4 linked regions of the Drosophila melanogaster genome follow. The protein of the gene in region 2 purifies or fractionates together with the protein of the main gene of each other region. This does not show direct contact. Each region holds a gene or a part of one and is shown on either strand. Other genes may lie near its edges.

What was found.
Region 1: the proteins of Fkbp39 (region 2) and CG1671 purify together in Drosophila melanogaster (affinity purification with mass spectrometry, with the first as the bait; one large-scale study listed by BioGRID). This does not show direct contact.
Region 3: the proteins of Fkbp39 (region 2) and CG7275 purify together in Drosophila melanogaster (affinity purification with mass spectrometry, with the first as the bait; one large-scale study listed by BioGRID). This does not show direct contact.
Region 4: the proteins of Fkbp39 (region 2) and CG6724 purify together in Drosophila melanogaster (affinity purification with mass spectrometry, with the first as the bait; one large-scale study listed by BioGRID). This does not show direct contact.

Annotation. Positions count from the first base shown.
Region 1 is NT_033778.4:9,846,180-9,852,973, reverse strand, and holds CG1671 (uncharacterized protein), read right to left. Parts: upstream 4,914-6,794; 5' UTR 4,850-4,913; coding exon 4,824-4,849; intron 4,765-4,823; coding exon 2,427-4,764; 3' UTR 2,332-2,426; downstream 1-2,331. Other genes in the region: PCB (pyruvate carboxylase), read left to right, coding at 1-426, 491-1,520, 1,589-1,837; Prosalpha7 (proteasome alpha7 subunit), read left to right, coding at 5,257-5,277, 5,336-5,901, 6,069-6,243; Orc6 (origin recognition complex subunit 6), read left to right, coding at 6,580-6,644, 6,701-6,794.
Region 2 is NT_033777.3:15,330,394-15,335,811, forward strand, and holds Fkbp39 (FK506-binding protein 39kD), read right to left. Parts: upstream 2,741-5,418; 5' UTR 2,636-2,740; coding exon 2,620-2,635; intron 2,436-2,619; coding exon 2,223-2,435; intron 2,156-2,222; coding exon 1,311-2,155; 3' UTR 1,191-1,310; downstream 1-1,190. Other genes in the region: mRpL9 (mitochondrial ribosomal protein L9), read left to right, coding at 361-432, 490-1,164; Cyfip (cytoplasmic FMR1 interacting protein), read left to right, coding at 2,996-3,202, 3,273-5,104, 5,160-5,418. UniProt on the Drosophila melanogaster protein: PPIases accelerate the folding of proteins. May function in a signal transduction cascade during early development.
Region 3 is NT_037436.4:15,496,222-15,501,707, reverse strand, and holds CG7275 (uncharacterized protein), read right to left. Parts: upstream 2,750-5,486; 5' UTR 2,649-2,749; coding exon 2,579-2,648; intron 2,527-2,578; coding exon 1,812-2,526; intron 1,756-1,811; coding exon 1,200-1,755; 3' UTR 1,147-1,199; downstream 1-1,146. Other genes in the region: CG7272 (uncharacterized protein), read right to left, coding at 448-617; CG7276 (uncharacterized protein), read right to left, coding at 2,947-3,462; CG13455 (uncharacterized protein), read right to left, coding at 3,792-4,365, 4,434-4,993.
Region 4 is NT_033779.5:10,766,716-10,772,560, forward strand, and holds CG6724 (uncharacterized protein), read right to left. Parts: upstream 3,238-5,845; 5' UTR 3,019-3,237; coding exon 2,960-3,018; intron 2,900-2,959; coding exon 2,233-2,899; intron 2,176-2,232; coding exon 1,929-2,175; intron 1,862-1,928; coding exon 1,572-1,861; 3' UTR 1,519-1,571; downstream 1-1,518. Other genes in the region: Ubc2 (ubiquitin conjugating enzyme 2), read right to left, coding at 1-276; CG17127 (uncharacterized protein), read left to right, coding at 4,270-4,566.

The sequences.
Region 1 (6,794 bases), on a different chromosome or scaffold from region 2:
CTTCGACGTGGCGCTGCGCTTCCTGCACGAGTGCCCGTGGGAGCGCCTGGAGGAGATGCGCAAGCGCATCCCGAACATTCCCTTCCAGATGCTGTTGCGCGGAGCCAACGCCGTCGGCTACACCAGCTATCCGGACAACGTGGTCTACAAGTTCTGTGAGCTGGCTGTGCAGACCGGCATGGACATCTTCAGGGTGTTCGACTCGCTCAACTACCTGCCCAACCTGATCCTCGGCATGGAAGCCGCTGGAAAGGCGGGCGGCGTGGTGGAGGCTGCCATCTCCTATACCGGAGACGTCAGCGATCCCAAGCGCACCAAGTATGATCTGAAATACTACACTAACCTTGCCGATGAGCTGGTCAAGGCGGGCACCCACGTGCTCTGCATAAAGGATATGGCTGGTCTGCTCAAGCCCGAATCCGCCAGGTGAGTCTGAAGGGGTTTTTAATTTTTTTCTGTTGTGTACTATTTTGTTTCCATCCCCTGAAAGGCTTCTGATCACAGCCATTCGTGACAAGCACCCCGACATCCCAATCCATATCCACACCCACGACACCTCTGGAGCGGGAGTGGCCTCCATGCTGGCATGCGCCAATGCCGGAGCCGATGTGGTGGACGTGGCCGTCGACTCCATGAGCGGCATGACTTCCCAGCCGAGCATGGGTGCCGTAGTGGCCTCCCTGCAAGGCACTCCGCTGGACACGAACTTGGATCTGCGCACGGTGTCGGAGTACTCCGCCTACTGGGAGCAGACCCGCACCCTGTACGCTCCCTTCGAGTGCACCACAACAATGCGGTCGGGCAACGCCGATGTCTACCTCAACGAGATTCCCGGCGGCCAGTACACCAACCTGCAGTTCCAGGCCTTCTCGCTGGGTCTGGGCGACTTCTTCGAGGACGTTAAGAAGGCCTACCGTGAGGCCAACCTGTTGTTGGGTGACATTATCAAGGTGACGCCCTCGTCGAAGGTGGTAGGTGATCTTGCCCAGTTCATGGTGCAGAATGACCTGACCGCCGATCAAGTGCTGGAGCGGGCCGAGGAGCTGTCGTTCCCCAAGTCGGTGGTGGAGTACTTGCAGGGCTCTATTGGCATTCCGCACGGCGGATTCCCCGAGCCGCTGCGTTCGCGAGTGCTCAAGGACATGCCCCGCATCGAGGGACGTCCGGGAGCCGAACTGAAGGACTTGGACTTTGACAAGCTGAAGAAGGAACTGCAGGAGTCTCACACCTGCGTCACCAACCGTGATGTCATGTCAGCTGCCCTCTACCCGCAGGTGACGAATGATTTCCTAAACTTCCGCGAAAAGTACGGACCCGTCGACAAGCTGGACACTCGCATCTTCCTCACGGGTCCCAAGGTGGGCGAGGAGTTCGACGTACCTCTGGAGCGCGGTAAGACGCTGAGCGTGAAAGCTCTGGCTGTGTCCGCCGATCTCAAGCCCAACGGTATCCGCGAGGTATTCTTTGAGTTGAATGGCCAGCTGCGCGCGGTCCACATCCTGGACAAGGAAGCCGTTAAGGTAGGTTCAGTCAGCAGTCATCGGTGATCTTTAGGCAATGGAATCATTTGCTTGCTCTTCTTCCGCAGGAGATCCATGTCCATCCCAAAGCGAACAAGTCGAACAAGAGCGAGGTGGGCGCCCCCATGCCCGGAACTGTCATCGATATCCGCGTGAAGGTTGGCGACAAAGTGGAGAAGGGTCAGCCTCTGGTCGTGCTCTCGGCCATGAAGATGGAGATGGTGGTGCAGTCGCCATTGGCGGGCGTTGTCAAGAAGCTGGAAATTGCCAACGGAACGAAGCTGGAGGGCGAGGACCTCATTATGATTATCGAATAGACAGTGCCACCGGATCAAAATGTCCATTGTCTAAGCTGCCACCGCACACACCCAATGTAAAATTAAGTGAAAACAGTGATAATCTTAGGGACTCTGTCAGTTCGATTGATCATAAAACTGTCCAAAGTCGCCTGTGTCTATTTTTATATGAATCAAAATCATTCATGTTTCCGTGTTTCCAGGATCAATCGACCATGAGTAACTGGTCAAATTTTTTAGCTGTCCCTGCCAAAATATATCGGATTGCATAAGTTCGTGCCCAAGTATATTTGTAAATTTGTCGTAGGGCTTTTCCCGCAAGTCATTTGAATCAAATTTGTACGATTATGGAATTTTTAATTCGCAAACACCTGTGTCGAGATTCCCCCTCTAGTAAATACGTAAGTGGTTATTAATGTTATATTAACTATTGTGTAATAAACGTTATACAAAATAAAAAGTAACGCCCTGGTTTTTGTAGTGTGAAATTGGTGATTAAACATCTCGAAACAAATATGTAATGTATGGTTATCTACTTTATTTTTTTCCTAAAATTAATTAAACTGAATTAAGTTAACAATCATGAATGAAACGGCTCCGAAGCTAAAGCCTACATGCACTTGACAATGAACTCTAGGAAAGCCAGATCCTTGTTCAGCTCGGTGACCCGCTTAAAGTGTCTCTGGACGTACGGAGTGAGTACCTCGACCATGTTGCCATTGTAGTAGAACCTCGCCTTGGGATCCAGAAGAGCATCTCCGATCAAGTACTTGAGGATCATGTTGCCCGCCTGCGAATGGCGCGAGTTGGTGGTCCATGCCTTGACGTGCTGCAGCAGCGCAACCCGCTGGTCAACGTTCAACTGGTCAACCAATTGCCGGAGACCGGGCTCATCTCGCTTGCGGACAAAGTGGTTGATAATATCGAAACTGGCTTTGGGCTTGTCCAGGTTCAGAGCCAACACGAAGGCCTTGTGAAGCTGCTTCTGGGCGTGCAGAAGGGAATGTAGGGTCTGCTCCTGCTCCAATGCGGCCTGCCGCTTGTCCAGCGCTTCGTTTCGCGTCACCTGAGTGACATCACCGAAGCGAATCAGCTTGGAGTCCGCGCCGCCGGTGTAAAAGAACCGATTGCTCCTGGCGGATACGGCCAGCGCCCAAACCCTATCGTTGTGCTCGTCCAGGGACTGCAGACATGTGTTGGTCTTGATATTCCACAGCTTAAGAAGGCCATCCGAAGCAGCGGAGATAATGAACTTGCCGTGATCCAGGAACTCGGCTCTCAGTATGGTGCACTCCTGATCGAAACGTTTTATGCACGAAAAATTGCTGATGGACCAGATGCGGAGAGTACAGTCCGACGATGAGGTGAGCACGATCTGATCCACCGGAGAGAAGCGCACACTCCACACACCGCGGGTGTGTCCCCGCAACACTCCTTGCAGCGTGTTGGACTCCGCCAGCCACACCTTAGCCGTCTTGTCTTGCGACGCGGTAGCAATAAGCTTGTTATTCGGAGCATATGCAACGCAGTTCACCTCCTTGTCGTGGGAAAGCGCTGCGTAGCGCAGGTTGAAAGAGTACGAGTTGCGATCCTCCTTACTTCTGACGAGCTGCCATACCTTCATGCTGCCATCTTGGCTCACGGATGCAAAGCCAGTAGCTCCGTTGTGCGTCATGGCCACGCAACCGATAGTGGACGTGTGGCAGTTGGCCTGTTGAGTCAGAGCCTCAAGCGAGCAATCTTTGTCGTGCTGAAGCCTCCAAAGCCGAACGCTGCAGTCCTTTCCCACCGAAATCAGCAGATTTTGGGATGCAGCAAGGGACATTACCGTATCCGAGTGACCCACGATCAGCTTGCAATTCATGTCGTGTTCCGTGTCGTACAGCTTGAAGTGCTTGCTGTTGGTGGCAACGGCCAGGTAGCGATCGTGTTCGCCCATAAAGCACATGTCTAGGATCTCGTCGTTGTAACCCACCAAGTGTTTAATGGGTTCCAGGGTTTCAACGTCGTAGACCAAAATATTCTGCTCTGTAGTGACCAGGGCCAGCTGTTTTAGCTCGCTGCAGTGCAGCAGTCTACTAATTTGGAAATCAGATTGAGAAAGAATATCCCTGATCTTCCAAGATTTAGGGTCGACCTGTTGCAGCTTGCCCGATCCGCTCGCCACGATTATCAGTTGTCCCTCGTCTGCGTACACGACTCCCTCAAGCTCATCGTACAAGGGAAGAACCTTCAACTGCTTGCTTTCCAACTGCTCCTGCAATTGCCACACGATCATAACCTTGTCCCGGCTTACAGTCACGATTTCATTGCAGTCGGACGCGTTGCTCTTAAAGCTCAAGCCGGTGACTTGCGACAGGTGACCTCGCATCTTGTGCACAAGTGTCTTCGTCTCGTAGTTCCAGGCATAGACAGTGTTATCCGAACCTCCGGCGTAGATCTCTTTGCGCAGCACATTGGGATGAAAGACGAGGAGCCAAGCGGGACCAGGGAAATCCTTGAGGGCACCCAGACAGCTGTTGTTCGAGTAGTCCCACAGCCTCAGTGTGGCATCTGCACCGCCGCTGGTGCAGATAAGCCTGCCGCAGGGACTAAACTCAACTCGGATGACTGGTCCCTTGTGCTGCGCCTTCCACAGCTTCACCAGCTTCCCAGTGTCCAGCTGCCACAGCCTAAGCAGGCCACTTCGATGGGCAGTAACCAGATGCTCCTGTGACAGCCCGAAGCAAGTAATCGTATCCTCCTCCACATCGATATTGTCCAGCTCCGCCGGCCTCTTGTTATCCGCCGACGGGGAAGACAAGCCGTAGCTATTTAGGATTTGGGAGGTCTGCACATCCACCTGGTTTACAGCTGAGCCATTGAGGCAGTAAAGATGATGGCCATTCGGGCTCCAGGCGATGTCGCCGCCGGCGTAGAAGTTCGTGTAGCGGGCCTCCGCCGCATAGCTGGATTTTAAAATTGTTGTAGTCTTGCAATCATCAGGTAATTATTAAGTTTATGTTACCTTTTCTCGCTGATACCCGCCAGCATGATTTTCGTTGTTTATAAATACAAAAACCGCGTGCGCCGCGGATCAGAACATGAACGGAACTAGTTCGAAATGTTACTTTACAGAGCATGTAAGGGGATATTCGAAATGTATAAGTAGAAAAGAAAAGAATGATATTAACTTCAACTGTGCTAAATAAATAAAGTACCATGAATTGGTGATTTATTTTTAATCATTCGAATTTTATCTGAAAAAATCGCGATTGGTATACGATTGGTTTTTATTGACGATAGTCGTTCCGAAACTATCGAACCTCCTTGACCGATAGGCCCCTTTGTTTTGTCCACCACTAGCCAAGTAAAAGCCGTCAAATCATCGTCGCATTCGACCCAAGGAATTAAACTAATTTTTGCGTTTGAATTGTTTAAATTTTCACAAAGTCTTCGCTATGAGTACTATTGGCACTGGAGTAAGTGGTCAGCGAACTACATATCTGCAGATCCCTAACGTCACCCTCTCGCTTCCAGTACGACTTGTCGGCCTCGCAGTTTTCGCCTGATGGCCGCGTTTTCCAGATCGACTACGCCTCAAAGGCGGTGGAGAAGAGCGGCACCGTAATCGGGATTCGGGGCAAGGACGCCGTGGTGCTGGCCGTGGAGAAGATCATCACCAGTAAACTGTACGAACCAGACGCCGGCGGACGCATCTTCACCATCGAAAAGAACATCGGAATGGCGGTGGCCGGCTTGGTGGCCGATGGAAACTTTGTGGCTGACATTGCGCGTCAGGAGGCAGCCAACTACAGACAGCAATTTGAGCAGGCTATCCCGCTTAAACACCTGTGCCACCGAGTCGCCGGCTACGTTCACGCCTACACTCTGTACAGTGCCGTCCGCCCCTTCGGACTTTCCATCATTCTCGCCTCCTGGGACGAAGTAGAGGGGCCACAGCTCTACAAGATCGAGCCGTCCGGCTCCTCCTTCGGTTACTTCGCCTGCGCCAGCGGCAAGGCCAAGCAGCTGGCCAAGACTGAGATGGAGAAGCTCAAGATGGATATGAGGACCGACGAATTGGTGGAGAGCGCTGGTGAAATGTACGTTTACAGCAAAAAAAAGGGACTGTTTCAAAAATCGGGCGGGCTTTATCCTAGTTCCGAGTGGAAACTTACTTGCTCTGACAATAGGAAGCATTTTTGGGACATCTATTGCACTTAGAATCTAGGTTTTTATTCATAATTAACATATCTATCCTATGTCTTAGCATCTACAAAGTCCATGACGAGTTGAAGGACAAGGACTTCCGCTTCGAAATGGGTTTGGTGGGCAGGGTAACCGGTGGCCTACATCTCATAAATCCCTCAGAACTGACGGAGAAGGCGAGGAAAGCCGGCGATGCGGCCAACAAGGACGAAGACAGCGACAATGAGACGCACTAGTTCGTTTGTGTGCCAGTGAATCTAATTCTGGGCCTCATACATAATGTTAATTTTATATTTCCCTAAAGCGCAAAATGAATAAACAAAATCGGGTGAAATTTAAGGTTTTTATATTTTTATACTCTCATTCTTTAATAGTTATCGTTCGATATAAATATATTGGCTCGCTGGTTATCGGATCTGGTTCCTTTTGAATGTGCCTGCAGCTATTAAACCTCGATTGCTACAAAGAAAAACCTTATCGCTCACAGCTGATGCATTTCGCGCCATTTGTTGTACTTTATTTTGGTTTTAACGACGCACGACTGGAATTTCAGTCTATTGTTAATAACTACAATGACTACCTTAATAGAACAGTTAATTACGAAAATGGGCCTAAGGGAGGAGCCAAACGTGCTAGAGTAAGCGATAAATAAATAGTTTTAAAGGTTTACCCAGTAAGATCGAATCCTTTCAGGAAAACCACCGAACTAGTACGCCTCCTGGAACTGCGCTCCACGAATGTCCCTCTGCAGATCAACGAGTACGGAAAGATAGTGCTGTGTGCGGAT
Region 2 (5,418 bases):
TAACGGTTTCCGTTTAAAAACTGCTTCACAGCGTGTACGCATACTGCATGTCGATGGGCGCGTTCGCCGAAATATTGGCATAGTCAATCTTTTATTTTGTAATGAAACTATTAAATTAAAATTGACAGTCATAATACTTTCAAAGGTACATTTTTTTTAATCAATTAAAAGGTAAATTGGGCAAATTATTTTGCTTTATTAAAATGTAAAGAAATAGTTGCAATAAAAAAACTAAATTCATAATCGTTTTCAAAGTCACTGAAAATTTTACTGCTGAACTCACGCAGATTAAATAATCATATCTGGCAACACTGCAAACTGGCTGAGTAGTCTGGCAACGCAGACATATTGGTGGTAAAAATGTTGAAGAACATCTACGTAACGCCGTTAAATTTGCTTAAATCGGCCACCAGCCTGCAGCAGCAAGTGCGGGTAAGTGCTCTCCTGGATTAGGGAAGCGATCCCCATTCACCACCAATTTGCTTCCAGACCACGTTCGTCCTGAAGCGCAAATATGACCCGCCGCTGCACAAAACCAACGAGAAACCCCGCCGGATGAGGGCCAAGAACTTCATCTACGAGCTCGTGGACGACACGCTGGTCAAAAAGCGGCCCAACATCGAGGTGGTGCTAAAGACCTTCGTCGAGGGCGTTGGCGACAAGGGCGACGTGGTGTCAATGAAGCCGCACTTTGTCTACAATAAGCTCCTGCTGCCGGGTTTGGCCGCGTACAATACGCCGGAGAATGTGGCCAAGTACGCCAAGACAGAGGCTGAAAAATCGACTGTTAAACACAGCTCCCCCTACGCCCAGCGCACGGTCAACATGCTGGAGACCATTGTGCTGGCGGTGGTCATGAACAAGGATGAGCCATGGGTGCTCGAGCCCTGGCACATCAAGGCCTCGCTGCGCAAGACTGGGTTCTATTGTCGCGAGGAGTGCATTACCCTGCCCAAGGAGCGCATCGAGGGACCCGACCTGAAGAAGGAGAACAAGGACTTCTACTGCACTGTGACCATAAACAAGCTGGAACAGGCGCGACTCAAGTGTCGTCTGCACCACTGGAGCACAGATCCCAGCGAACGGCTGCCTTACGTACTCGAGCACTGGAAACTCCAGTCTGAGCCCCTGCTGGATGTATGTTCACCCGAAAAAACCCCTTAGAGACCCCATACCAAATACATGCGATTGTTACAAAACTGTTGATTTATGAACAGCCGGAAAACAGAGTTTATTTAACATTTTTATCAAGTTGTACGACGTGGATACTTACTTAGGATTACAAGTCTATATGATGTTAATATAGTGCACTAATGCACAGCTTTCAGTTCCACTTCGAAGACGAGAGTGGAGTTCGGTCCGATCTTCGGTGGAGCTCCCCGTGCGCCGTACGCCATGTGCGGGGGGCAGGTAATGACTCGCTTGCCGCCCACCTTCATGCCGGCGACTCCCACGTCCCAGCCCTTGATGACCTCTCCGCCGCCCAGGGCGAACTTAAATGGTTTTCCCTTCAGGAGGCTGTCGAAGGTCTTGTTGTTCGACTGCAGGCGGCCGATGTAGTAAACAGATACGCGTTTGCCCTGCTTGGCTTCTTCGCCTTTGCCGACGACCTGATCCACAATCTTCACGCCTCCGGTGATAGTACGTGGATCCTTAGAAGCTGGTTGCTGCTTGGCTGGCTCCTTGGCCTTGGGTTGTTCCTTCTTGGCCTCTGGCTTCTCCTTCTTCTTTTGCTGCTGCTTGGCCTCCTCCTTCTTGGCCACACCGTTCTGCTCCTTGCCAGATTTCTTGGCGCTAGCGCCAGGAGAGAGCTTGGCAACCTTGGCCTTTGGCTGTTCCTCTTCAGCTTCGGAGTCGTCGCTGTCCTGTTCATCCTCCTCGCCACTCTCCTCGTTATCCTCATCAACATCGTCGTCATCTTCCTCCTCACCATTTTCGAGGAAGGACTCGTATTCCTCGATTATCTGGCTATCGTCATCAGTATCCTCCTCGTCCTCCTCGCCGCTCTCATTCTCATCCTCATCATCTTCAGACTTTTTGCTATTCTTGATCGCCTTGGAGTTCAGCAAATTCTCGATCGTCATTTGATCGTCATCCTCATCATCTTCGGAATCAATGTCGTGCAAGTAGCCCAACAGAGAAACGCTGGCGTCGCCTGTGAAACGAACGAAAGCGTCAGAAACGGATAAACATGCGAACATAGTGGACATAAAAGGTCTTACCGGCGGTGTAGAACATGATGCGATCGCCCTTGCTGAAGTTCAGGTCGAGCGCAACCTGTGGAATGGCCTTGGTCACGGTGGCCACGATGTACTCCTGCTTCTCGGCAGCGAGGTACAACTTGGCCTCCTGGCCCTTGTCGAGTGCCACGCCCGAGATGTGGAACGACTTGATGATCGTCTGCGAGTACTTGCGCTCAGGCTTCATGTTCAAACCTGGAAGAGGACACAGTTGGTCAAAAACATGGTTTACTTTACATCGGCGTGCAAATGGCGCCGCTCCACGCTGCCGGTAAATCGAGCGGCAAGCACGTGGTGGCAATAAAAGCGCGGTCGGAGCACCCAAGAGCTCGTTGGCACAACCAGCCCGGAGGGGGCAAGTGAGATCAGTTCGACTTACCCCAAAACATCGACATCTTGCAGAATTGTAGGCTACTCTTAACGGAAAATGCAATATAAAATAGGAGAAATTGAGTTCGCTAAAACGAAACGGAACCACAGACGCTAGTGATGTGATGTGCCGCCAATGCGCCGTATTTATCGATTATCTTTCTCTTATCGAAATTAGCGGTGCGCAGCCATATAAGCATAAGCACATCGTAGACGCCAACCGCCAGCAAAAATGTGCTAATTATGGCCACGTGTCCACGCACCCAGGCGAATGGTAAAAGTCGTGTTGTATTTGTGGCGAAAAAAATTTGTGTCGATTGGATTGGGGCCCCGCCTTGTTAGAATTTAACCATTTCGCGCTGCTGGAGCATGATAAGCAGCCCAGCATGACGGAGAAGATTACGCTAGCCGACGCGCTGTCCAACGTGGAGGTGTTGGACGAGCTATCCCTGCCGGACGAGCAGCCCTGCATCGAGGCGCAGCCCTGCTCGATTATCTACAAGGCAAACTTCGATACGAATTTCGAGGATCGCAATGGATTTGTCACGGGTATCGCCAAGTACATCGAGGAGGCCACCACCCATGCCAACTTGGTGAGTTAGCGTATCCGGCTTATCGCATTAGCATTACTCACAGCTCTGAACCCCTTCTCTCCGCCCGCAGAATGTGCTCCTGGACGAGGGGCAGAAACACGCAGTAATGCTCTACACCTGGCGCTGCTGCTCGCGCGCCATTCCGCAGCCCAAGTCCAATGAGCAGCCGAATCGCGTGGAGATCTACGAGAAGACGGTCGAGGTGCTAGCCCCGGAGGTGAACAAGCTGCTCAACTTCATGTACTTCCAACGCAAGGCCATCGAGGCCTTCTCCGGCGAGGTGAAGCGCTTGTGCCACGCCGAGAAGCGCAAGGACTTCGTGTCCGAGGCGTACCTATTGACGCTAGGCAAGTTTATCAACATGTTTGCCGTGCTGGACGAGCTGAAGAACATGAAGTCCAGCGTGAAGAACGATTACTCCACCTACAGGCGAGCTGCGCAGTTCCTCAAAGTGATGTCGGACTCGCACACCTTGCAGGAGTCGCAGAATCTGTCCATGTTCCTGGCCACGCAGAACAAGATTCGCGACACGGTCAAGGACACGCTGGAGAAGATCGTGGGCTACGAGGATCTGCTCTCAGATGTGGTCAACATTTGCGTGCATATGTTCGAGACAAAGATGTACTTGACCCCTGAGGAGAAGCACATGCTGGTAAAAGTTATGGGCTTTGGCCTGTTCCTTATGGACAGCGATGCGTGCAATATCAACAAACTTGATCAAAAGAAGAAGATACGGCTGGATCGCATCGATCGCATCTTTAAGAACCTGGAAGTGGTGCCCCTCTTCGGCGACATGCAGATTGCTCCCTTCAACTACATAAAGCGCAGCAAGCACTTCGATTCCAGCAAGTGGCCGCTGTCCAGCTCAAACGCCATCAGCCCACAGGCGGATCTAATGGTGCATTTGCCGCAGATACGCGAGGATCACGTCAAGTACATTTCGGAGCTGGCGCGATACACAAACGAGGTGACCACCACCGTCAAGGAGAATCCCTCTGATGCCGAGAACCGGATTACGGCCGACCTGGCTCTGCGCGGCCTTCAATTGCTGTCCGAGTGGACCAGTGTGGTCACCGAGTTGTACTCCTGGAAGCTCCTGCATCCGACTGATCATCACCAGAACAAGGAGTGCCCCGTGGAGGCTGAGGAGTACGAGCGGGCCACCCGCTACAATTACACCTCGGAAGAGAAGTTCGCGCTGATCGAGGTCATCGCCATGATAAAGGGACTGCAGGTGCTAATGGCGCGCATTGAAACCGTATTGTGCGAGGCTATCCGGCGTAACATCTATTCCGAGCTGCAGGACTTCGTGCAGCTTTCGCTTCGTGAACCGCTGCGAAAGGCCGTAAAAAATAAGAAGGATCTTATCCGGAGCATCATCATGTCGGTGCGAGAGACATCGGCGGACTGGCAAAAGGGCTATGAGCCCACCGACGATCCAGTGGCCAAGGGCAAGAAGGATCCCGACGGCGGCTTCCGCATCCAGGTGCCTCGCCTCAATGTGGGACCTTCCTCCACTCAGCTATACATGGTGCGCACCATGCTGGAGTCTCTGATTGCCGACAAAAGCGGCGGCAAGCGCACTTTGCGCAAGGACATCGACGGAAACTGTTTGCTGCAGATCGACACGTTCCACAAGACATCGTTCTACTGGAGCTACTTGCTCAACTTCAGCGACACGCTTCAGAAGTGCTGCGATCTCTCGCAGCTGTGGTATCGCGAGTTCTACTTGGAGATGACCATGGGTCGTAAGGTTAACAAGTGCTTGGTGCGGCATCAGCACAACGAGGAGTGCAAGGATCTGATCACCATGGAGAAGCGCATTCAGTTTCCGATTGAAATGTCCATGCCCTGGATCCTAACCGATCACATTCTGCAAACGAAGGAGCCCTCAATGATGGAGTAAGTAAATGGCGAATAGGTGAAATGATCTGAACTAACTAAGTGCCTCACACAGATTTGTCTTGTATCCCCTGGACTTGTACAACGACTCGGCGTACTACGCACTCACTGTCTTCCGAAAGCAGTTCCTGTACGACGAAGTGGAGGCCGAAGTCAATCTGTGCTTCGATCAGTTTGTCTACAAGCTGAGCGAGCAGATCTTTGCCCATTACAAGCAATTGGCGGGCAGCATCTTCTTGGACAAGCGATTCCGTTTGGAGTGCGAGGTACTCGGTTTCAACTTCCAGTCGTATCCCCGCAATAATCGTTATGAG
Region 3 (5,486 bases), on a different chromosome or scaffold from region 2:
GCTCTCCCAGATTTGGACAGACTCTACCGGATCAGCATTCGTAATAGAGGAGCTCTAAAATTATACACTCTAGATAAGAGCTACGTGTTTGGAGGGTTCTCGCATCGATAAGGCGGCAAAAGTGCTGCTGGCGGATTTTCGACAAGGTTAACGATTTCGAAATGTAACGGTCGCGGATGATCGAAGTGTAATTCCCATTTGGCCAACGCAGTGATGTAATCGATTCCATTGTTATCTTCTTGAATTGTGTGCAAAACCGATTCACTGGCGGCCTTGAAGAGACTCGATTCTGTGCTGTCATGGCGACAGTTCTAAAATTTAATCAATTCCCACACAGATGCGTTGGCTTTTGTTCTTTTCACTCGCTTTTCCTGCCCCCTGCCCACTAGTTTTTTTTTCGATGTCGCATGCAGTGGAGCATCACGGAATCCCAATTAGGTTACTTACAGCACCACTCCGAAGAGAAATGGGCCCACCGGGTAGACGTCGCTGCTACCCTTCTTGCGGATGTCGTTCATCAGAACCACTCCGGACAGAAATTGCAGGGTAGTTATGGTGCCGGCTACCTTGGCGATTAGTTCGCTGTGTGGCGCCAAGAGATCCCCCAGTGCCTCCATGATTTCAATGACTCTCAGTTGATGCCTTTCAAACGGGTTATGTGGGAACGGGAGGGGGGCCGAGTGCCGCGCGAGTATAAACAAATGAACGAAAACAAAAACTAACGACCGACTGGCGGCTGCCGTAACAACAAACGAACAAATACTGAGCACCAACGGTGGGGCTGGCAACCTTTTATAATCGAGAATCCCCTAGAAATGGACGCGTCTCTCCGATTTTCCCCAAACGTTATCGCCCGCGAGGGCTTATCGGATACGAATTGAATTTCAAATTTCCGCGAAACGTTGCTGCATGGCAAAGCAAATGAGTTTTCTCTCTAGAGCAACAGGAGAGTATTCCTTAGAACTTATCAACATCTTCTTTCTTCTAGTATCACTGAATTAAAGCCAAACAATAGTTTAAACTAAGCAAATTCACTGATAACTTCGGTTTGACTTGACCAAACTGAAAGTCACTTGAGAACAATGATAGAAAGTGAGAAACTCAATTGAGATTAGGCTTCTTAATATATACATACATAGTCTCCTTACAAAAATCAATTTTATTCAAACTTATCCAACTACAGTCGTTAGCAATCATCCTCACACCTCCTCCTTCAGCACATGCTTCTTTTTCTCGCTGACGTAGGGCACCTTCTTGCTCTTCTTGGTGTGCTTGCGCACATTGGCCTCCTTGACCTGCTCCTTCTCCTTGACCGTGCGCATCTTCTTCTGTGCATTGAGCACGTGACGCGGCACCTGGCGATGGCGCGCGATGCGCTTGATCTGCGGATGAGCGGCATACTTTTGCTTCAGCGCCTCCTGGTAATTGAAATTGACGCGCTCACGTGGACGGATGACGCCCAGCTTTTCGGAGGCATTCGCCTTCCACATGCGGACGTTCATTTCGTCGGAGCCGGAGAAAACGTATCGATTATCGAGGGACCAGGCCACGCAGACCACATGCTGCATGCGTTTTGTGTGGTAAATATCCCGCGAGTGACTGTGGTGGGCATTGTAGATCCGAATGGTCTTGTCGTAGCTGGCCGAGACGAATTCCTTGCCAGTGGGCGAGTAGTCAACATCGGTGACAGCGGAAACATGGTCAAAGTGAACCTTCAGCGGCGTTTGCAGCTTGCGAGTGTCAAAGGTATAAAGGCTGTAAGAAATAAAGATTTTAGCAACACATCCTCTTCGTATGGCCGTTTTACTCACTTGCAATCCTCGTTGGCCACTGTGAAGTTGAACGCCTCCATGGGATTCCACGCGAGCTTGTTGCTCTTCATGGTTAGGACGACCTTCCTTAGTGGCTGCGCCTCTCTCTGATCGTACAGGATAATGCTGCGATCGCTGGCACAGCACGCCAGGATGCTTGTTTCCACGGGGTTATAGGATATGGTGTGAAGGGTATCGACGCCCCACTTCAATGTCTTCAAAGGATCGTTGTGCCTTTCGTCCCAAATGGCGCATACCTCGCCACAGGTGGCGAACTTGTTATCCCTGCGATTGTGCGAGATGCCGTGCAGTCCAAATTTACTCAGTATAGTGTTCACCGGCACCTCATCCTCGCCGACTTCCGGAGCCTCTGCTTTCCAAACCTTGATGGTTTTATCATCTCCCACGGTGAAAATGCGACCTCCGTTCTGGGTGTAAGCAATGCCGCGAACGAAACCGTCGTGGGCCACAAAGTTCCGAGAGCTGATACGATTCGCCAAGTCCCAAATGCGCACTTCGCCGTCATAGGCGCCGGTGGCCAAGGTGGAAAGTTGCTTGGGATGCTTTCCGAAGCAGGAGACTCCATCGCGATGCCCGCTCAAATTGCAGACGAAGGGTTTGGCAAATACTCGATCCAACTTGGTGGCATTCAGGGCACGCACGTATTCCCTGGGACCCTCCAAAGGATGCAGCGAAGGATCGTAGTTCCTGGGCACTGAAAGTGGCATTCTTATAATACTTTGGTCTTTCTTCGTATATGAACTTACTTTTGTGCTGTTGCAGTTTGGTTTCTCGGACATAGTTATCCGGATTGCGACTAATCATTTTCACCTTCATCCTGATTGCATTTATTAAGCTTTTCTGCGGCGTAAAATAAAATTAATCGTGAGTTTCGAACATAAACAACATGTGCGTGCTACAGTGTTGCCATACAGAGCGGCTGTCAGCTGATTGTGTTGAGTAGTGGGTGTGGTAACACTAATGCAAAACCAATAGGGTAACACTGAAATTTGAAATTTTGGAGGGAATTCTTCTGAGTGTTGTATGATCAATCAAATGCAACACAGTTCACGTTCATTTTATGCAAATGCATAATACTAAAAAATTTCTTATATTTGATTAATTGTACATCAACCTAGTACTGATAGCAACCAAAAACGGCAGCAATGCAGATAAAACTGCCACCATCAAAGGTGAAGGTTATGTAGTCATCGGACAGCTCATCCCAAATGGCGCGAGCTCCGTAGAAACATCCGGCTCCGGTCTGCTGGTAAAGCATTACGTTCACAACGTGCTTGAATCTTGGAGAAGAGCCGCGTCCCTTCATCTTAATGTTTATGTCATCGGCGACTTCGCGGGTCCATTTAAGGGCTTCCGATTGATTATAGGTCTTGTTTGCCAGCTTCTCCTTGACCACCTGGGCTATCATCAAGCGAATGTACGGCAATGGGAACTTCTTGCCGAATGCTGGTCCCATGTTGTAGTAGTTATAGATGGTGACATCAGATGCCGGCTTATCCTCATTCCCAGGCTCCCATTCTTCATCCGAGTCACTGTGGGACATTACCTCGGATCGGCTGTCTGCGCTGACCGCGGACGCTCGAAAGGACTCCTTTGCAGTCGACAAGGTTTTGGGTCTTTGTGTCGACATTTTTGCGATATTTTTATCTGTGTTTCGTTCAAATTCCAGATAAACTTCGATTGCAATAAGTTAAGAGAAATAATCAGACAGAACAAATTTTTCATGGCCATCTAGTTTTCCAAAGAAAACACAGTGATTGGTAAATAATAAGTTCAATTTTCGCTTTTTAACCTTTTTTGCAATTATAAAAAAATCTATTGTTTTGTTAGTTTTTTATTTCGCATAAACATATTTTTGTTATTTTTTTTTACACTTTCCATTGTCTAAATGACCCAATTTTTTCTAGTTAAAATATTTCAAAGTTAACCTAACGTTAAGTAGTAACCAAAAGTGAAGATTTAACGAGCTGAATGCCTGTAACGTCGAATACGAGGATGTCGATTGGAGAGATTCTGAATGTAGGTGTCACTACTCTGCTCTTGACTTGAGCGTTCCCTGGCCTTCGGTGTGAGCAAGTCATCGACTGGATTCTGGTTCTGACACTTTTCCATTTCCTCCTTTTTGCGCTGCTGCTGCTGAAGCTCGTGGACTTTTCGCAGGCAGCAGCAGTTCCTGAGCGCATCCATAAAGCACTCTAGATTCCTGCGAAAGATCTCCAGATTCTCCGGAGAAATGGGCGACTTCTCCGCATGACAACACTCATCGATGACCACCTGGGCATGGAATATACACTCGCTAGCCTGACCGAGTGTATTCTTTAGATTGAAGATTTGCTGTTTCTTCTTCAACTGCATTTGAATATAGCGAGTGCACAGCATCTCGAAACGGCGCTGTTCACTCCGGTACTCATCGAATAGCTCGTCGTATTTGGAGTGCAGCTGCTCCGTTTTGCTTTGAAGTACCTTGAGAGCCTTTTCCCTCTTGGCTAACTGCCGACGACTTTGGCGATGGGACACGGAGAGCTCAACGTAACTGAAAATGCGCCAGAATACTTAGTGCCTACATATGTATACCCTTTTCTAATATTGTTGAAAACTTACCGCTGTTGCATCAGCAGTGGACTGATGGAGTCGTACAGCTCACCAATGGAGTTCACATGGGAGCCACTGGGGCCCCTCTTCTCCGGATCGCTCTCACTCGAACTGGAGCTATCGATTCCCCGGAGCAACTGCACCAGTCGCTCGTTTCGCTTCCTTTCCGTGTCCAGTGAAAACACCAGTTCCTGAACCCGTTCTGTCTGCCGATCGAGGGCCATTCGGAGCTTGAACTCCTGCTGCCGATCCTCGTGAATTGTGTGCTCCAGTTCATTCACTAGTCGCAGTATCTGTTGGACGGTCTGCTGGTAGGGATTGGGCTCCTGGTTTTTGTTCAGGCTGGCATCAGTTGAGGCCAGATGATTTTCGCCCAGTGATATGGGCTCGTCCTCTTCGTCCTCCGAGGGAAGTAAGAGACTGGAAACGGGATCCAAATTTGAATTATTTGAAGACGAGCTCGACGTGGAGCTAAGAGGGGCCAGGGGACGACCCAAGTCGCTCTTTCTCGTGACGGTTCCGAAGCCAAGACCGTTGCTCACACTCCTCAGAAGGGTGCTCAGGTTCATCCTTGGTCCTTTCCCACCTCGTGTCGCTGTCGTCGTCGATGTCTCCGTCTTGTCACCTGACTGTAAAAGTACTCAGGTGTGTGCTGCGCTGTGTGCTCGGCTTGTTTGTCACTAAATGACTGCCTACTTGTGCTCGGTACACTACAATAAATAAATATAAAAACAGATACTTTTAGATGCTTTTAAGATATTAGCTTTTTTGTAGAATTGATTCTCTATCAATGTTTAGACTTCTAATTAAACAGCAGGAAGTCAAAAAGTTGTGGTTTCTATTATGAATATAGCAATATTTACTACAATTTAAACAAATTAAATTATGTAAATTTCTTCTTATTGGTTTCTGAAGCTTTTCTTAGATTTTTCCGAGTATACCAACAGCTATCCGAAAGTTGCTGCCTTCCGGGCTCACTTTCCATATGGTATCGCACAACTTTTTAAATTGCTTTCAGTTTTAACACCTTTGCCTTCAGTTTTCCCGGCACTCAATCAAAGT
Region 4 (5,845 bases), on a different chromosome or scaffold from region 2:
CTGTATGCGCTTGGCCGAGGTGCCCAGCGCCCTGGATATCCTGGGCGTTGTTTTGGCTTCCTTTCGCGGCTCATCTCCGCCACCGGCATTGCTCCCGGAGGCACCACCGTTGGCGTTGCTGCCCCTGCCGCCACGTGCCTGCGGAGTTCCGGCAGTCGTCGGCTGGCTGGTATTGCTCACGTTGCTGGCCGTTGTGCTGGGTGCACTGGGCGCATTTGAGGTGGCACTGGAGGTGGCCACCTCGGCGGCACTGCCCGCTGCTGGGGTTGAAGACATTTTTGGTCTCGTTTCTTCGAACTGAAATGAGTATTTTGATGTTTGGTTAGATAATGGTTTATGTAAACGATCCACTATGTTCAGCAGGGAATTTCCATAGAAAACTGGTGAAATATGAAGCCAAAGCCTACTTGGGATTCACATTTATTTTTAAAGGGAAATCCCTTCTTGCCTGCACTTTGTGCGTACGAATGTAGTTGATGTGAAAAGTATGGCCAGTGGAGTCGGCAATTATACGCGAATCTTGGACGGGGCTTCCCCAGGGTCCTTGACCTGGTTTTCCACCCAGTTTGTGCCCCTTTATGATGACAGGGGTTTGCTTTTTTTCGCACAAACGCACGCATTTCTATTGAGCAGCGGCCATTTTGGCAAACCCCCGACAGTAAAAAGTGGGTTTTGCATGGGATTCGTTGTCAGGCCAGTGGATGCTGGACAGGATTAGGTGATAGCTGGACAAGCATTTGCCCCCAAAGTTTCGAGAGCATGTGCTGGATGCCGCAAAAAATCAATCAGCAGACATTTGCAAAATGCCGCCGCCGACGGCGGAGGATGATGATGACGGTGCTGACTCCGCCGCCTGCAGCTCGATTGCACAATTTCGCGGAATTTGGACGCTGATTAGGTGGGGTCTATCTTGGGACCAGCCCGTGAAGCACTATACACACCTCACTATTGCAGTTTCTTTCACTTTTTTCTATCACAACACTTGCGAAAATGATTCTCCCTGTGTCGCCTGCTGCCCTCTCGCTCGCACTCTCGCGCACACGGCCTTCGCAGTGGATGCACGGCTGTTCCGCTGGCGTCCTTGGTGGGTGGCAGTGTCGGCGCTCCAAACTCCTCGGCGGCTCACGGTCGCGATCGTTGTTATTTCGCTAAATTACAGTTGGCAAATTACGAGGCGACGCAGAGCCGACTTTATCTTTGTTAGAAACTCGATAATTTGTATGTTTGTAGCCAGCTATCGGTCCGGGTCCGTCTCTAGGTGCTCGCGCTGTCCGCTCATCCTTAGCGAACTATCGATGTTCGGCTTCTGGCAACCGTTTTTTGCCTTTTCTAGCACTGTGGCAACTCGGAAGCGGATACCATAAAAATAATATTCAAGTATTGAAATCTAACTATTTCGTAAATGAAATAAAAAACAAGAATATTTACACCATGTATAATACACTTTGAATACCTCTCTGCTTCACCCACTTCGATAATTTAAGTGTAACACCCCAGATGTAAAATCTTTCAATATTTACTTTAAAGTTTAAACTAGTTTTGTATTTATAAAAAGTTTACAAGTTTTGGGATTACTTCGTCTCCGCTTCTTCCGCTAGCGCCTTGCGAGATTTGAATACGCGCACCGTGTTGTCGACACCACCAGATACAATGTACTTGGGATTGGACCAGTCGATGTCCAGGACCTTTTCACCGTGACCCAGAAGATCGTACAGTGGGGCCTTGGGACTCCTGCAGTCCCACAGCTTGTTCTGGTTGTCATAAGCGCCGGAGACAAATAGGAACTCCTCCGTGGTGGACCACATGACGGTCTGCACCCAGGCATTGTGTCCCAGATAGGTATTCCTTACCACTGATCCCTCTGAAAGATCCGAATTATATTGGTTAGGTGGAAGTTCCATTGTTGATATTGGAGTATTAGATCTTACGGTTTGTCCTAGGATCATAGAGCCGCAGATTCTTGTCCGCCGAAGCAGTCAGTATCAGCCGATTCAGCTTTGAGTAGCTCGCATCGAATATGGACTTGTTGGTGGATATTTCGGTCTTGATGCCCTCAAGACTCAGATCCCACACCTTGAGTGTGTGATCCCAGCTGCCAGTTAGCAGAGTGGTAGCATCCATCCACTGCACGGCTGATACGCTCTCACGATGTCCCTGCAGCGTAATTTTGGGGGTCTGAAAGGAATTGTAAAGCTGATTACAAGTCTAATTATAAATGGCAAGACTACTCACTCTCACACCGCTCTCTTTCATCCGCTTTGAGCTGCCCTCGACTGCATCGTCCAGCTCTGCTGACCACACCTTCAACATCGTGTCCCAAGAGCCCGTGGCAAATCTCAGACCATCCGGACTCACGCTGACACTGTCGACGCCTCGCTCGTGGCCCTTGCACACGGAGACACATTCCACCGAGTTGGAGCCCACGTTCCACTGCCACAGCATGGCGGTCTGATCCTGCGATGTGGACACAAAACGTCCCGTCTCCTCGTCCAGCGATATCCAGTCCACCGCCTTGATGGGCGCCGTGTGACCAGAAATAGTGAGAATGTGCTTGCCTTTGTTGGTCCACAAATTCAGGGTGTTGTCGTAGCACCCGGAGAGGATCCACTTTCCTCTAGCCTTCACCGCGGACACCCAGTCGTCGTGCAGCAGGCAATCCTGTGGCTCTGGCGCCGGGAACCGCTCCACATACTCGATCTCGATGGCGTCCTCGAAACTGATGGCTTTCTCGCGCAGGTGATCGCACAGCCGGCCACGCAGGTACTCATCGAACACCAGGAAGTCGAAGTCCGTGTCGGAAGAGCCATCTTTTTGACGCAACAGTGCGTTCACGAATGTGTTTAGCTCCACGGTGGTGACGGTGCCATCGATGGCATAGGGCACATCAGGCACGGCATAGCTGAAATAGGGTATCTTGATTAAAATCTTCTACTGATAGAGATTCTAGATGGACACTCACTGCTCCTGCTTGGTCTTCAGGTGCACCTGCACCTGCCCCTCGCCGTTATCCACATCCATCTCCTGGCCCACGTGCGTTTCTTTTTGGCTGGATTGGGATTGGGGTGTTCCCGCGTGTGTTTGCTACGGTTATGACTTAACTCCTGCAGGTGGTACAAGGTGTTGACCACTAAACTAGAGGTTCTTCCTTCGGGAGATCGTTGTGTAAAATTAAATTGAAAAGAAGCGTGTTTTTAAACGAACGATGGTAAATGCAACAAATACATGCAAAAACACTAAAAAACGCCGAAGCGCATGCCGGAATAAGAGTTATCGCATTGCTATCGCTGTGCTCTTATCGAAATGCCTTATCGTCTTGTTATCACCCGTTACTACTAAGCGGAGTTTTTAAATTCAAATTTTTTGGTGCGTTAAAACTATGCATAATTATAATAGCTTGCTTAAGTGTAATTTGCCGATTACTTTAACAAATAAAAAGATATTAATAGAGTGTATGGTATTTCTAATCACTTTGATTTTGTTTCTCTAAAATATTACTCATCAAATTCGAAAAACCGCTGATTGCATAACCACTGCTTTGTCGTTTCTCCTTTTTTTTATTACAAAAAAATCTTACAGAGATACGAGCCAATTCGCAATACTGATAATTAAATATTTTTTGCAAGCAAATCAGGCGCAGATGATTTGCTGTAATTTAGCCACTAACTGCTTCTCTTCCTTTTGATCGTCTTACGCAAAATGGAAAAATAAGAAACCAAAAAATGCACAGCCGCGGCGGCAATTTGTAAATGACTCTTCAATCTTCAAAGACTGGTAATTGTTAATATTTTACGTTCAGGCTATTAATATGAACCAGATAGCACCTGAAAGACCACTTTGCGGCCGAGTGTTCACTGGAAGGTTAAATGCCACTTGACATTTCTGAAGTGGCGCTTAACCTTCGCATCAAAATTGGACAAATGCCCAAGAAAATAAAAAATTTCCAATAAAAAATGTATTCACCTTAATGGGTCGATGGGGATATTAAGCTGGGAAGTAATAACACTTTTTTTCGGTACTACTACTTTGTGCCACCATTTTGGCTTTACAAAAAACCAGAAACGAAGCGAAATGAAAGAGTTAAAGCTTTCCAGATTTTCGGGGCTTCCAGCGGCGCAGCTCAGCTTATAAAACGGGCATTGCGCCTGCGCAGCCGAAACATTACAACAAACGACGCGCGCAAGGTAAGACCATAACCAAATCCAGTCCGCATCGAGCGCCACTGAATCCGTGCATCTCTTGCAGTTGAATCCCCTCGAGAAAACCCACAAAATGAAAGTGTTCGCGCTGTGTTCGATGCTCGCCCTGCTCCTGGCTGGTGCCCAATCCCTGCCCCAGAATCGCGAGGGTGCCGCCTACACGAACGAGGCGATCCGGCAGGCGCAGCAGACGCTTCTCATCCCCAAGGATGCCCAGATCCAGAACGTGCAGGAGGGCATCGAGCTGGGCGCGTACGAGCAGATACCCGGCAACCAGCGCATCAATCTCTTCGAGATCCTCGGCGACCAGGTGCCCTCCGAGGTGATAAACAACCTGCAGTCCCAGGTCGACCAGATCGGTCGCAACTAAGTCGTAGGACCACTTCCTTGGTTAGCTCATTGCATTTCGTCCTCATTGTTAAGTTTCTCACTAATAAAACGAAAACATTACAAGTATTTAATCGCAGCGTTTATTTACCACCCAAAACAATTGGAAAAAAAAATCCGAAAAAAATATTAAAAGCGAAAGTGATCCTCCCCGAAAACCAGTTGGTTCCTCTGCAAACGAACTCTCGAATCGAAACGAGTGATTTATTGGTTTGATTTGTGGCTTTTTCCTAACGATCTTCGCCGACTTTCTCCTCGCTGATCCCGCTGCGCATACGAATTAACAATAAAAGTCGGCACATTGCTATCGCATGGCATGGTATCCTATCCTCAACCTTGTTACGTAACCCGGGGATGGGAATGGCGATGGAGTCGCTGGTAACCCGAGTGGTTGCCCCGCCGGCAACTTTTGTGCTGCGGTCGTGATGCAACAGTTGTCGTCGTGATTGTTTTCCTCGGACTTTTATTTATTTTTTTTTGTATTTTGTATTTTGTTGCTTTTTGCTGGGCTTCGGTTTGTTTATTTAATTTCTGGTAATTGCCGCCACATGCACTTGCATGTGTAATGAGTTGTACGTGGAGGGGGCGTGGCATGCCCGCAGGTACAGAGGGGCTGCTTGCATAACATCTGGGTGGGTCCGATGATCGTAGGGTATTTTATAGGGCCCTGATTTTTGCATCATTTGTGGTAATAAATATTCCCAAATATGATATGAACCACTTAAAACTTTTATCTTGTGTGTTTAGAATTACCTCATTTTTATTTCGTACTTCATACATTGTTAAATGAGCTTCAATCTAAATTTACGCTAGTTAAAGTATTTTCATAATATATTTTAATTATCTCAAAAATTCTGTGTGGTATGTGTGTGAGTGATAGTGTGCACGATCATCGCCTAAATAAATTATGTTCATATAGGTAATTAATTATTTATTATACTCGTACGTACTAACTAAAGAATGACTGCGTTTTCATTTTGACACTTTTCTCCGCTCGTCAGCTTTGAAATTCACTCGAGCTTTTGATTTTCCTTTCTAGGAAAATCCAACGATAATTATCAAGACTCAATGTCAAAGTAAAATTAGTTTAAATTGTATATAAATTATGGTTAAAGTAGGAGTAAATTGCTTTAAATTAAAACTTTGCCATATTCAGTCTAAACTTAAAAGCTTTTCAATTCAAAGAGGACTACACAGTTGGCCATTGCATTAAACCATTTCTCAAAATCATTTGCATTCGTTATGAAATAAATTACAAATTA